Rhinolophus ferrumequinum: one gene and its partner. Each later gene encodes a partner of the first gene's protein in a complex. Links are inferred from orthologs where the notes say so. Each region holds a gene or a part of one and is shown on either strand. Other genes may lie near its edges.

The links.
Region 2: the proteins of TLR4 (region 1) and LY96 are in contact, whole or in part, in a crystal structure (PDB 4G8A), measured with the Homo sapiens proteins. The link is inferred for Rhinolophus ferrumequinum from reciprocal best matches to the Homo sapiens genes TLR4 and LY96. Residues at the interface, in NP_612564.1 of Homo sapiens: Gln39, Met41, Glu42, Asp60, Ser62, Phe63, Asp84, Ser86, Arg87, Thr110, Gly111, Val132, Val134, Glu135, Asn156, His159, Ser183, Ser184, Asp209, Leu212, Arg234, Val259, Glu262, Phe263, Arg264, Asn265, Glu266, Arg289, Ala291, Tyr292; in NP_056179.4 of Homo sapiens: Met40, Tyr42, Ile66, Pro67, Arg68, Arg96, Ser98, Asp99, Asp100, Asp101, Tyr102, Ser103, Phe104, Arg106, Leu108, Lys109, Gly110, Glu111, Thr112, Thr115, Thr116, Ile117.

The regions. Positions count from the first base shown.
Region 1 is NC_046295.1:68,786,205-68,793,599, reverse strand, and holds the start of TLR4 (toll-like receptor 4), read right to left. Parts: upstream 3,223-7,395; 5' UTR 2,953-3,222; coding exon 2,860-2,952; intron 1-2,859.
Region 2 is NC_046297.1:8,797,345-8,804,529, forward strand, and holds the start of LY96 (lymphocyte antigen 96), read right to left. Parts: upstream 3,267-7,185; 5' UTR 3,163-3,266; coding exon 3,051-3,162; intron 1-3,050. UniProt on the Homo sapiens protein: Binds bacterial lipopolysaccharide (LPS). Cooperates with TLR4 in the innate immune response to bacterial lipopolysaccharide (LPS), and with TLR2 in the response to cell wall components from Gram-positive and Gram-negative bacteria.

The DNA of each region.
Region 1 (7,395 bases):
GATCATCCCAATAAGTCTAGTACCCATCTGACACCATACAGAGTTATTACAATATTATTGACTCTCTTCCCTTTGCTGTGCTTTATTTACATTCCCGTGACTGCTACCCTTAATGAGAGCCTCACAGACTCACAGACGGTACTGTCTAAGAGAGGACGGTGCCATGCACTCTTCTTTTATCCTCTTTCACAGGAGGCATCACCAGCTAACATTACATTGTCCGTGTGATGGTTCCATGTGTATCGTTTCTCTCCCTCCCTAGATTGTCAGCTTGGACGGTCTCGCTCTCTGCTATGTCTCCAGCACTCAGAATAGAGCTGGGCAGATAGTCAATACTTAATAAAGATTTGTGGAATAAATAGATGAATAACTGATTGAATGGAGGTTTGTTTCAATCCAGATTGTAGGCACTTTCTGTTTAGTGTTTTGGGCAGTACAAAGACCAGCGTGATATTGCTCCAGACTTCAGTGAGCTCACAATCCAGAGCAAGGGTTAAGGCAGGAGCATAACTCACACTACTGAAAAGAGCCATAAATATATTTCCTGTGGTTCAGGAAAGGTGGAGATCAATTCTGGATCCAGGGATGGTAAACGGCTTTTAAGAAAGAGATTTTTTAAGGTGGTTCTTGAAGGATGCACAAGATTTGGATACATGGAAAGAGGAAAAAGATGAGTGTGAGTAAGAAGGAGTGCAAAACTAGTTTAGATTAGCTGGCATATGGAGGGAGTGGTGAAACCCTAAGCCAGAGAAGGCAAGGCCTCATACTTTGTCCTCTGGCAATATTGTTTATTGTTTGACATATATAAATTGAGCAACTACTATGTGCTAAGCACTGAGATATGGTGATAAAAAGACAATGATTTTGCCCTCTTACAGATCCATTTCAAAGGGAAAGACAATGAACAAATATATATATATATATATATATATATATATATATATATATATATATATATATAGTGATGTGCTATCAAAATAAAGCAGTGTAAAAGATTCGAGGCAAATATGGGGATGGATATATAGAGATTCGAGGTAAATAATGGGGTGACAGTGAGGAACTCTATATGAGGTGATCAAGGAAGACGTCTGGAGGAGGTAATATTTAAGCAGAGATCTGAATGCAGTGAGGGATGAAAATATTTCATCAAATATATCAAAATATCTCATTAAGCCATGAAAATATCTAGGACAAGGCTACTGAGCATGAGAAATGTGGATAGTCTAAACTGCGGTGTATGGTTTATGTACACACACACACACACACACACACACACACACACACACACATTCAAGCCTTAGTACCAAAGAAGGAGTCTAAAATATCTTATTAATAATTCTGTATATATTACATTTTGAATATTTCAAATATACTAGGTTAAATAAAAATGTTATTGAAATTAAATTCACCTGTTTCTTTTTATTTTTAATGTGTCTACTAATTAGTTAAAACTTAGTTAAATATAGATACTTCAATTTATTATTGAAGTTTACATATCGTGTGGGGAAAGCATTATAGCTAGAGGAAATAGCCAGTACAAAAGTCCTGCCGTAGGAAACAGTTCTGGTAGCTGTGGAGCATTATTATGTTTTGAAATCAGGTGATTTGTTAGAACCCAGCCTCAGGTTAAAACACAACAACAAACAAAAATGCGCAGAGTGGATTAGAGGAAAGGTGATATGGAGTCAGGAGACCAGTCACCATCCAAGAGTCCAGGCCAGGGGAACTAAGGACTTGCGCTAGATTGACACTGAGGGGGATGGGCAGACTTTGGAGACTGGGACATGAGGAAAGGGAGGGCCAGCAGCGGGTGTGATTTTATCCAGGGGTGACACTGATTGAAGGATCTCTCTTCATTAATCTTAAAGCAGGGCAGTTACAGAGAGGAGGAAAAGGACTAGGGCTGTGGGCAGGGAATCGGAGGAAGAGAGGTCCCTGAAGTAACAACTTCATCTCTGTTATATGTGAAAGTCCACTATTCCCTTTCTGAAATTCGCTCAATTTCAGAACTCACGCGGATTACGTTTTTGTTGAGTTTCTGACCCTGCCACACCCTAAATCCCAGGACACTCTCTTGGATCTTTGGTTCTATCGTGGGCTTCCAAAGCAATTGTGAAGTCCATGCAGGGGAAAAACAAAAAGAGATCCATCATGAATGAGTTTACAAACCAGATGTTTGGTGTTTCACAAAGAAAGACACCATTGCATTAACTGACATTTTATGCCATTCTTTTTCTTTTCCCCGCTCCTCTCTGTATTTTCCTCTCTTTGTCTTTTTCTATTTCTCTGTCTCTCTGTCTCTCTCTTTTTTCTCTCCAGTATCTTTTCTTTTCATCCTTTGGAGAGAACTATGACTAGATTCAGAAGTCTGGAATACTTTTAGAAAGTTCTTTCTATTAAGAGGCAAGAAAACATCTTTTTGCTGAAATTCAAAGGGGCAAAGTGACTGCTTGAAGCTGAGTGTACAGACAACCGTGGAAAGGAATGACAGGAAGCAGCCTTTTCACAAACTCTCTATTGAAGTAGACATTATTATAATTCTTTTATAGATGTGAGAACCCGTCTCAGAGAGGTTTGATAACTTTTTCAAGGTCACACAGCCCAGAAGCCTAAGAACAGTGATTTTAAGCGGGTCTATTGAACCTAAAGTCCTACATGTGACGCGGTCCGATGGGCTGCCTGTTAGTGCCTGGTAACCATGAATTATTTGTCCCTGTGGCTTCTCAAGGCTTTAAGGTAATTTGACTCTGTTTTGCACACAAAGCTAACCAAAGCCAGCAGTGGGAAACTCTGGGCAGAAGGAAGTTTTTCAGAAGCAAAACAAAGCACGCAGGCCATGAACTCACCCCGAACACATACCTGCATACAAGGATCCCAGCTCTCGGGCCTCAGGCAGGAGAGGAAGGCCATGGCTGGGATCAGAGTCCCAGCCAGGCGGGTGGGCGGCATCATCCCGGCATTTTCTGGGACTAGAAATGCACCTGTGAGAGCATGCTAGGCTGTAACCGCCTGCCGGGCAGACTCTGAGGCACTGCTGTCCTCTTTCCCTTGCTCCGGTGCCCCAAGGCAATTACTGTATTCAAAACAGAGCTGGGTTAAGGGGCAAGAGAGGAAGTGAAAGTGGCAAGCTTCGCATTCTGGACTTTTGTTTCGCTGATAATTACCTCCCCTTTCTCAGGAGGGGAAGTTAGAAGAAGAAGAAAATGTCTGCATACCAGTGGCTGGAGTCACCACAAGAAGAAGCTGGCTTTTATCCCAGTAAATCATATGACCTCAGTGTTAGTGAACTTAGGGAAATAATCTGATTGGTCACTCTGTGTAACTATCTAGGATGATGGTTTTCCAGTATTGTTTTAGTTGTGGAAACACCGTTGTAGGAGTTTCCTAGGGCTGTCATAACAAAGTACCACAAAGTGGGTGGTTTAAACAACAGAAATTTATTTTTTCACAAAGATCCGGAGGCTGCAAATCTGAGATCAAGGTGTCAGCAGGTTTTATTTCTCTCCAGGCTCCTCCTTGGCTTGTAGGCACCCATCTGCTCCATCTGCCTGTGTGTCAGTATCCTAATCCCCTCTTCTTATAAGGACAGCAGTCATATGGGATTAAGGCCCACCCAGATGACTTCATTTTACTTCAATTTCCTTTTTAAAGACGCTTTCTCAAAATACAGTCACATTCTGAGGTCAGGGGTTAGGTCATCAACATCCATAGTTCCATCCATCCTACTAAAATCATGGGAAGAAACTCACATTTATGAAACTGATTAAAAATGAAGTTCCAGTGAAACACAGTTTGAAAAGTACAGGAATGGTAGGAAAAGATTGAGACGAAAAATCAAATATACTACAATTCAAATTCAGGCTGGGAGATTTAACTTATGGCCTTGTGGCATTGGTCAAGTCACTTAATTACCGAGCCTTAATTTCTGGTCTGAACAATGGAGTAAAAGCTTTAATAACAATGGAAGCTGGCATGCATGAGATTCATAGAAATCAAGTCATGTGACAGTAGTCAAATGATATAAGCCACTGAGCCTTAATTTTCTGGTCTTTAAAATGGAGACCACATTTGTCTTGCATGATCGAATTGAATTAATTTACATCAAACTCCTAGTTTAGTGCATGGTTCCTCTGTATGTATATTCCATACGTTGGTAGCTATAGTGATAATTGAAAATCTGAATGAAATGGGGATAATAATATGTACCTCAAAGAATTGTCACAGGACTAAATAAACTGGTATCTGTGAAGCTCTTAGGACAGTATCTGCAATGCTGCAAGTGTTCCTGTTAAATAAGAACATAGTACAAAAGGGGGATATTATTGGCATGGTACCTAGATATTGCTATCAAGATGCTGTGCAGGCACCACAGATCCAAAATACACGAAATCAAGTTGCGAGGGAGCATGTGATAGGACCTGAGCGCAAACACTTGCAGACTTCTTTAACATAGCTCTAAAATTAAGCCAAAAATAGGCCCCCTGTCAAAACTGCGCTCTGAGTATTGGGACTATGTCAAGGTCTTAGCCAAGTGCCTGGCACATAGTAGGTGCTCAATAAAGTTTAGTTCCCTGGAGAGTTAATAGCATGCCACGGCTACGTACTCACCCAAAATGGATATCTCCTTGGCTTCCGCATTTCTCTCATCAAAAGTATATCAACTATATTTTGTTATTTTTTTCCTGTATTCTTGATGCTCTGGCAGGGGGTCTTGCTGAGGATAGAGTGCCCTTCCCAGGGCTAGCCAATCCTTAGAGATAGCCGATGATTTGCCCTGGAGCTCACCTTTCATATGCAAACTAACCAATCCAAAGCCCATTGCTAAACCCCCTCTTCTATCAGGCTTTTATACTTTAGGAGGCTGTATTCTTTTGCCCTTATCATCACCAGGCCAGCTACCAGACAACTAGAGAAAAGCCCAGTACCCCAGAGCCTGCTAAAATTATTCAAACTAGCCAATCTCAAGTCTGCTTCCCCTGCCTTTCCTCGCCTTTCCCTCAGAAACCACAGTACAGGATTCTGCCTATGTTTTGCCCTCACTTCTTCTGCCTCCCGAGGAACCCTGGTGCTTCTCCATGTGGCCCTGCATGGGGTGGTATGCCCCCTCCTCTTGGAAACTGTGAGCAACAGACTATCTTTTCAATGACAGTCTTCCTGATCTGTTGGTCTCCCCACACCTGAGTTAAGAAATACTACATTTTAAAACAAAACATTCTACCAAGTCCTAGAAATTTTATCTATAAAATAATTCGAATTTTTCCATCTATTGGACAATTGTCCAATAATAATTGTCCAATTATTATTACACACCTGGGCCTAGATTAGTGCAATACCAGACTCACCTCTTCTAATGTAGCAACTCTATCGATCCATCCTTTATCCTGAAATCAAAGCAATCTTTCTAAAATTGCAAATAGAATCACCACGTGCCATGTTCATAGTATTCTGAGGCTGTGAATTACTCAGACCTCGAGGCTCTAGGTCCCCTATGTACACACACACACACACACACACACACACACACACACACACACACCACTCCACATCCTGAGAAGAGTAAATGTGTGTTATTTCAGCAAGACATAGCTAAACCTGTTATTAGGACACAGCACTTAAATAAATAGAGTAATATAAGATCATCTTCCTGTCATTGGAGAGAAAACCCTTTAATGGTCAAGATGAGGCCTGAGAGAAAGGGTTCAACATGGTCTTCTAGACTATGTTTCATGAGATGTTAATACATGTAACATACAGAACTCTTCCTGGAAAATTCTATCTGTGACTAGAGAATTCAGGACCGTCCCTTGTAAAGGTGTTTCCCTTTCATGGGAGTACCACTGACAGTCATCAAAGATATCTCGATTCTGTGTTCCTCTTCCAAAAGACAGGCTACACATCAACTACAAAAGAGAAGTTATTCCCTCGGTTAGCAAATCTTAACTTGCTTTTGTTGATGGACACAGCTCTGACTGCAGTGTTACAATGAAATAAGACGTGGTGATTAGCCACCATCCTGGGCCCATAATTTTCACTGCAGCACAGTAATAATTACACCTTGGGCACAGTACTAGAGACTTGGCCAGGTGCATGGGAAGTAACTTGGTTTTCCAACCCCTTCATGTGCAGCCAGGTCAACTCGGGACCTGTAATCCTCAGGCAGTGGAGGAATCCCCTCTTCACCAGCATTCTGGAAGACGTGTTCAATATTATTTGGCAGGTACTGCATATTCAGTAAGAAATAATGAAAGAACAATGCTGACCTGTGTTAGGTTAAGCTAAGTGCTGGCTCAACCTCCAAATTTTAGTTACTTAACAATACAAAAATGTATTTCTTGCTCATGAAATTCTCAATGAGGATATTCCTGATTGGAGGTATTCCAAGAATAATTCATGGATCTAGGCTCCTTTAATTTCATTACGCCGAATCTGATTCCATCCAATAGTTATGCTTCCATATTCAGCATGTAGCCTCCAAGTTTTCTCCAGATTTTGAGATGAGTGTGCTGAAGACCCATAGATACTAACTACCTCTGTTGAGAAGTGACATGTATCATTTCTGCTCTCACTTCATTGGCCTAAACTAGTCCCAAGGCCATACCCAGTTGCAAGGGCTCTCTTTCTCCTGAGCTTTAAGCCTGTTACCCTCACTCAAAACTCACACACACACACACACACACACACACACACACACACACACACACACACACTGTCACTGATGGTACTGCCCCACAGCACCAGTTATATTCTACACTATGAAAGGAAACACAAATCTCTGTTTTTCAGTGGGTTATCTGTGCTACAACTTTAGCATCCTGTAATATCTATTTCAAGGTGATTAAAAGAAAATTGCAAGTGAACAATAACAACATAGTCTAGCTCAGAGAAGAAAGGTCCCCATAGTTCGACATATTTAAGAACTGAATCTGATTCTAATCAACAATTTTAAGTTTCACATTTTTCACATGTAACCTCTCTCAAATCATAACGTGTCTCATAGACAACATATTACAATTATATTTGGCCGGGTTTTTTTTTTTTTTTTCTTTCATAGTGGCAAATGAAGTAACGCTACATCTTACAATCAATGGTATGTTATAGTCAATGAAGAACAGCTTGTCAGTAAGAGGATAAAGACACATAGGCTTTGTTCAAGCAAATAAAGGAAACAAATGGTTGAACAGAGAATAAAGAGATTTGTTTCCCAAGGTCACCTCAGAAAATGTACTAGACTAGTGTGTATTTTGCATCTACAAAAGGAAATATAGTGAGTGCTCAGTGTTTCCTAACGTTTTTGACCCGTGTACCTCTCTTTTCTCCGTGGATACCCATTACCAGTTGTATTCATGAATGTCCCATGGGCCAGCATTCCAGTGACCTATAGTATAGAGGTGCTGC
Region 2 (7,185 bases), on another chromosome or scaffold:
GCGGACCTATCACTAGTATGGAGATTGAATAAGTGATCAAAAATTTCCCAACAAAAAAATAACCCAGGACCAGATTCCTTCACAGGTGAATTCTACCAAACATTTAAATAAGAATTAACCCCAACTCTTCTCAAATTCTTTCAAAAAATTGAAGAGGAGGAAACACTTCCAAACCCATTTCTTTAGCCCAGCATTACCTTGCCACCAAAGTCAGACAAAGACACAACCAGGAAAGAAAACTGCTGGCCAATATCCCTGATAAATATAGATGCAAAAATCCTAAACAAAATACTAACAAGATGAATTCAACAACACATTAAAATAATTATACACCGTGACCAAGTGGGATTTTTCCTTCAGACACAAGGAGAGTTCCACATATGAAAATCAATTAATGTGCATTAATAACATGAAGGATTAAAAAAAATAAAATCACATCCTCATCTCAATAGATGTAGAAAAAGTATTTGATGAAATTCAACACCCTTTTGTGATAAAAACAAGCCAGTCACATAAGGACAAATACTGCATGATTCCACTTACGTGACGTGTCTAAAATAGTCAAATTCATAGAGCCAGAGTGGAATGGTGGCTGCCAGGGGCTGGGGGGAGGGAAATGGGGAGTTGTCATCAATGGGCATAAAGTTTCAGTCAAGCAAGATGAATGAGCTCTAGAGATCTGCTGAATGGCCCTGCGCCTATCGTCAACAAATCTGTTATACACTTAGAAGTTGAAGAGGGTAGAGCTCATATAAGGGGTTCTTGCCCCAGCAAAGTAAAATAGAAAATGTTGTACGAATATCGAAAGGAAATCTCCCCCTCATGCAAATAGATGAGTGTTTTAATGTCCTTATATTGTTACAGTGGGTGTCGAAGGTACTAAATTACTTTAAACTGTGTTTGTGGGGGGGGGACTCCCCCAAATATATTTTTATAAAATCACTTGCCCCATTTTGGGACTTTTTAACTGATTCTTTTCTCTACTTTTCTAGTTCTATTGAGAAATAATTGACATACTTTACTATAAGTTTAAGGCGTACGGCATGGTGGTTTGATTTACGTACGCTTGTATATTATAAAATGATTACCACAACAGGTTCAGCTAATATCCATATACGGTCATGTATATTAGCTGAACCTGTTGCTGGGAGATATTAGCTGAACCTATTGTTGTGAGATATATATACTAGGTTGTTTAGGGATGACACAGAGAAAAGGCCATAGGAAGAGATGAAGACACAGCGAGCCAAGGAGAGAGGCCTCCGAAGGAAACCTAACCTGCTGACCCTTGATCTTGGACGTCCACCCTCCAGAACTGTGAGAAGTTAAGTTTCTGTTGTCCACGCTGCCCAGTCTGTAGTGTTTTGCTATGGCAGCCCTAGCAGGCTAATACACCGTACACCCAGTAGCTTGGCCAAGTGGAGTCATTCGCACAGAGAGGATTGAATCAGGGTTGGTTGTCGTCCACACCCTCACGACACTACCGAGTGGAATCAGTGCTTCCCGCGCAGCTGCTTTTTCCGCGAGGATTCCCTTAAGTGGAGAAGGGAGTGGCAGCAGGTAGAGCGGCACTGTAGTCTTGACAGCAGGTGGGCAGCAAGGAAGGACCACTGGATTTCTCAGCATTAGAAAGAGGCAAGATCCTCCCTCAACAATCAAATCAAGAGACACATCAAATTATTGTTACTAAGAGGTGAAACGCTAATAAGAATACACAGTGTTGCACAGCTGCAGGCCATCTGAAACCCAGCACAGAGAAGACATGTGGGGCAGAAGGGCGAAAGGAGAGGGGAGAAGTGGGGGCCGAGGGGACTGGGGAGCCTTCCTGGAAGGGAGCCATGGACAGCGATTTCGTAGGATGGAGACATTTCAGAGGTAAGCTGAGAGGGAATTCAGCACAATCCACGTATGTGAAAAAAGCCACGAGTGTGAGGTTGGCAATCACTCTAATTCTGCAGAAGTAACTTTCTATTTGCATTTGCCGGACTGTGTTGTTTCTCAGGACAGTCAACGCACACTCAAAACATAAAATGCAATACAATTGAAAATCTGGGGACTTAAATCGGTTTCTTCATTGCAGAACTCAGAACTCAAAAGTACATTTGTAAATTCCCCCCAAATGCGTAGACCGTACATCCCTTTCCCCAAAAGAATCTCAAAGAACTAATATTTTGGGAAGCGTCCCTTTAAACCTTGCTGCTAGCAGCAGTGGGCAGAAAAGGCCAGCCAGCCCAAGGCGAGCAAGGCAGGGGGAAGTACCAAACCAAAACAAACTGAAACAGTGGTCAAGCCCTGAAACTGTGCTTGGGGGGGAGGGGAGGTGGTGGAGTCGGGGTGGGTGGGCGGACAGCAATACAACCAGTTAATAGCATCATTAGGCTGATGTAAAAAAAAAAAAAAGAAGTACTCAGGACTGTTTCTATGCAGCTCTGTACTGAAAATGTTACGTCATCCCAATGCTTATAACATAGGTTCTAAAACCACTTTCATTTTACAGATTAAAAAAAACCTGGAGCACATGGAAGCTAAGTATTTTGCTCAAGGTCACACAGCTGTAAGGGATAGAACCAGGCTTATATCCAATTAGGGAGATGAAGCCTGAAACACATAGAGAGCACCCTTTATACACCCAACACTGTGCTGGAAAAACAAAACAAAACAAAACAAAACAAAAGTACAGTTTGGAGCACTCATCAATTCCAGGGGGCAGCGAGGATTGTTCCTCTGTGTCAAGAAGTAGCAAAAAAAGCTCAGAAGCAGACAGTTCCCCTGAAACTCGGAACAATCTGAAACTGGGCACAAGGCAGAGATAGCTGAGCATAGGGAACAACAGAGGCCCTTGCAGGTCAAGTACAAAATGGTTTTAGAGCTGGTGAGGTCTGTGAAGAATCGAAAAAACCCACACAGGGGTGTCCAGCCATCCGTCTTGCAGCCTGCTGGCAGCTGCAAGTAGTCATTTCCTGCTGCGTCCCAGCGACAGGAGAGTAAGGTTCCTGTGAAAAATCCCCCTCACAATAGCTGAAGCGAAGACTTGTTGCTGTTTTACTTACCACAGTAGGTGTACCACACACTCACATCAGAGGAGTTGCAGACCCAGTGTTGCTCCCCAGGGTCAGTAAATATGGAAGAAAACAGAGTGGAAAAGAGCATAAACGGGAACATGATTTACTATCTCCAAATCTTTAAAAAACAATGCAAGGACAGTCAGTAACTAAATCATCAGACTTCCTTTTCAGTAAGTAGAAAAGATTGAACTGAGTCATCAGTCACATGATTTCTACGTTCCGATCCAACTGTTTCCCCTTTTGCGTGTATTTATGTATGTGTGTGTGTGTGTGTGTGTGATATTTGAGCACTTCCTGCAAGAGGAAAACAAAATGATTTCAAAGACACTCTTTTCCAACACTTGATGCACATGAGAGACCAAGAGCTTTAACAATAAAACAAGGGATTTCCCAGTCAGCAGTAACAAAATCAGCGTGTAGGTCTGTTTCAGAATCCCACCCGACTGGCACCGCTTTTCCATCTGCATTGCTATTCTCTCTCACAGGCTCTTTCCACAGTTTCTCATGGCCCAGAGAGCTGGATGTGTAGATCTGCACTGAATAGTTGTATGCAAACCACAGGTTCAGCCACGGGGCAGAGCCGGGCTGGACGACACCCCAGACATGGGACGCTAACTGCGGTTCTGCATTGTGGGCAGGGACCCACCACACTTGAAAATGCACCTACTCAAGCGAGCGAACGACAGCTCCAGGAAATATTTTGAAACTTAATAATAAAATGGCCGCAGCTTTGTGTGTGACATGTATTTCAAAACTCTTCATTCCATTCTAGTAAAAAAGTAACAGCGAATCCTTTAGATGCTTTGTTACTTGAAATTCTTTATAGGATGTAGTTTGGGATTCGTAGCCAAAAAGGGCATGGAGTTGGGGCCTCAAAATCTGTTAAGTTTACAGGAAAATAATCACATGTTGGTAAAAGGTTTCACTAAAGAAGTGTGCTACTTTCCCCTTTTTTAAAAGGCAAAAATCCATGGGAGGGTGGGGACATGGGGAGTTAGTCAATGGATATGAGTTTCAGGTTTGCAAAATGAAAAAGATCTAGAGATCTGTTACACAGCAATGTAAATATAGCAAACACCATACTGAACTGTACTAAACTGTGCTTAACTGTACAGTTAAGATGGCAAATTTTTGTTATATGTTTTTTCCCCATAATTTAAAAATGTGTTTAGAAAGTGGGGGGTGGAGGTGAAGGGAGGAAAAGCCAGGTGAATGCCTCTAGTGGTCTCAAAATACCATCTCCCACTACAAGGAACAAAGACTGGAGAAACTGCTGATTCCGGGTCTGGGGCAGAAAATGTACAAGATGAGTCTGGAATACCATCTCACATTAGAGAATCAATTTGAAGATAGTCCCACTGACCAAAGATGGGTTGCTTATTGCTTCTGTAACAAATAACCACAAACTTAGTGGCTTAAAACAATCCACTAGTGCTCACTTACAGCTCTGGGGATCAGAAGTCTGAAATCAGTGCCACTGGGCTACAGTAGGTGTGGCCAGAGTTGGTTGCTTCTGGAGACTCTAGGGGAACAACCAGTTTCCTTGCCTTTCTCAGCTTCGAGTTTCAATCCTTGCATTCCTCCATCTTCAAAGTTCAGCACTCCCATCGCTGCTTCCATCGTCACATTGCTTTCTCCTCTGCTCTCCCGCCTCCCCTTATAAGGACCCTGTGGTTACACTGGAACCATCTGGATAATCCCGGATAATCTTCCCAACTCAAGATGTGTCTATAAAACCCCCTTTGCCATATGATGTAACATTTGCAGCTTCCAGACCTGAACACCGTGGGGACCACTTCAGCCTACCTGTACACGTGAACATTAAGATAGTAACTGCAAGGCATGGAAATACATCAAGGATATTTAAATCCATGGGCCCATAATAATTTTTTTTAAGTCTAATTAATCACCAGCAGATGCTAGGAAACCAACTCTATTTTGAAAACTGGTAAATAAAAGGGAAAGAATCAAGCACTTATCTTGACTTTCCTGTAGAAACTGAACTACCGGTAACCAAATCGTAGAAAGTGGCAACTTCCCCTTGCCTTCTCATACTCTTTCCTCTACTTTTAGAAATATTTCAGCTATTTATGAGAAAAGAATAATAGGATGTTACCATTTTGCAACACCTAAGGTATTGAGCATCAATGGTTGCTAACTAACATCACAGAGACCGAAGGACATCGTGTACCTCTTAACACCATGGCAGCCAGCCTCCAAGTGATCCTTACTTCCTGGTAGGCAAATCCCGTGTAGTCCAACAGTGAATAAGGTTGACTGTAGAACTAATGAAATGTTGCCCAATGGCAATGTATGACTTCCAAGGTAGATCATAAAAGGTATTGTGGCTTCCATCTTGCTCTCCTGGATCAATTGCTCTGGGAGAAGCAAATAGCCCTAGAGAAAGATCCATGTGGTGAGAAACTGACACCGCCTGCCAAAAAGCCAGCACCAATTTGTCAGTCATGTGTGGGAGCCATCTTGGAAGCAGTTCCTCCCGCCCCAGTTTAGCCTTCAGATGAGAGCAGCACCAGCTCTCTCGACTGCAACCTCAGGAGACACCTGAGTCAGAACCATTCACCTGAGTCACCTCAAACACCTGACCAAGAGACACTGCGCAATGTTATCCATGTGTTGTTGTTTTTGACCTCTGAGTTTCAGGGGCAATTTGGTACACAACAGGTACTACAAACAACATCATCTATGAGTTAGTCTTGTCCACAATCATCGAACCTCAACCGGATGAAGCCTCAAGTGCAACTATCGATTTGCAGGAAATACAGAAGACAAAGAAACACATTAAATGATACCTCAGGGATACAATCGGAAAATCTAGACCATGAAAACACATAAAGGACAAACAAATCAGTTTCTCCAACAGATAATTTGCAAGGGGGGGGGAAAGCGAAAAAATGAAGGGATCCATAATTTGAAGTCTTAAAAGACATTTCAAAAATTGGTGTTAGATGTGAATTTTACTCAGGTCTTAACCTCCCAAAATGTGGGGGGTAATTATAAAATAATCAGATATTTGAACAGACTTTCAAATCAGATATTTGAACAGATATTTGATAACATTAGGAGGGAGGCAGTTTAGATATCATAGTGGTATGTTTTATTTAAGTCCTTACCTTATAGTTATAAAACTAAACAGTTAAGAAAGAAATGTTATGATGTTTGAGATTTGCTTCCAAATAAAAGTAGAGGGCAAGTGGTTTGGGTCTAGATGAAATAATATTGACCACAAACTGGTCATGTTATTTCATTGTACTCTTATCCTTTTGAATGTCTGGAATTCTCAATAAAAAGCTACAATGAAAGTACAGTGTTCTGAAAAAAGAATACAATTTTTACAATTTTTATTGGGGAATATTAGGGAACAGTGTGTTTTTCCAGGGCCCATCAGCTCCAAATCAAGTGGTTGTCCTTCAATCTAGTTGCAGAGGGCGCAGCCGGCAACCTTGTTGAGAGCTGGTGCTCTAACCAACTGAGCCATCCAGCCGCCCCCAAGGAACACAATCTTAACAATGTTTCCAAGCTAAGACTATCATTCCTATCAAATGGCCATTTTGTTACTTTTGCTTCCAAAGCTGAAGTCTTCCAGTATAATAAGATCTACATTGAGGAAAAGGATTATTTTATTGTCTAAGGGTATATTATCTGATGGAACCCAGATGTTAGCCAGGGTCACCCTGCCTTTTGAGACTCAGAAGTGACTCAATGCCTGTCCCCTACATAGTGGGAGACTCATCACCTTCCCTATCTTTCCAAGATCATTGCCTGGGGTGAGGGTAGAGAAATGGCATGGACAGATGTGCCTCTATTTCTCCTCCTTACCTTGGCCTGAGTTGTTTCTGCTGACTTATTTCAGTGATGAATCATGTTATCCTATGCACGCTGATTTGTTTCTGCATCCTGGTCTCACTCCTCTATGCCCTTGAGAAGTCATTTTTCTCACTTTGTCTTTTAATTAAGCTTTTTTTCTTCTCCCTAAATAACCAAGTTGTCTTCTGAAGAATTATTCTAATTAAATTAGGTTTTTCACTCCATTACACAGGCAACAAAATGGTCACACAGATACAGGACATTTTAAACAAGTTATGATGAACATGACCCTTAG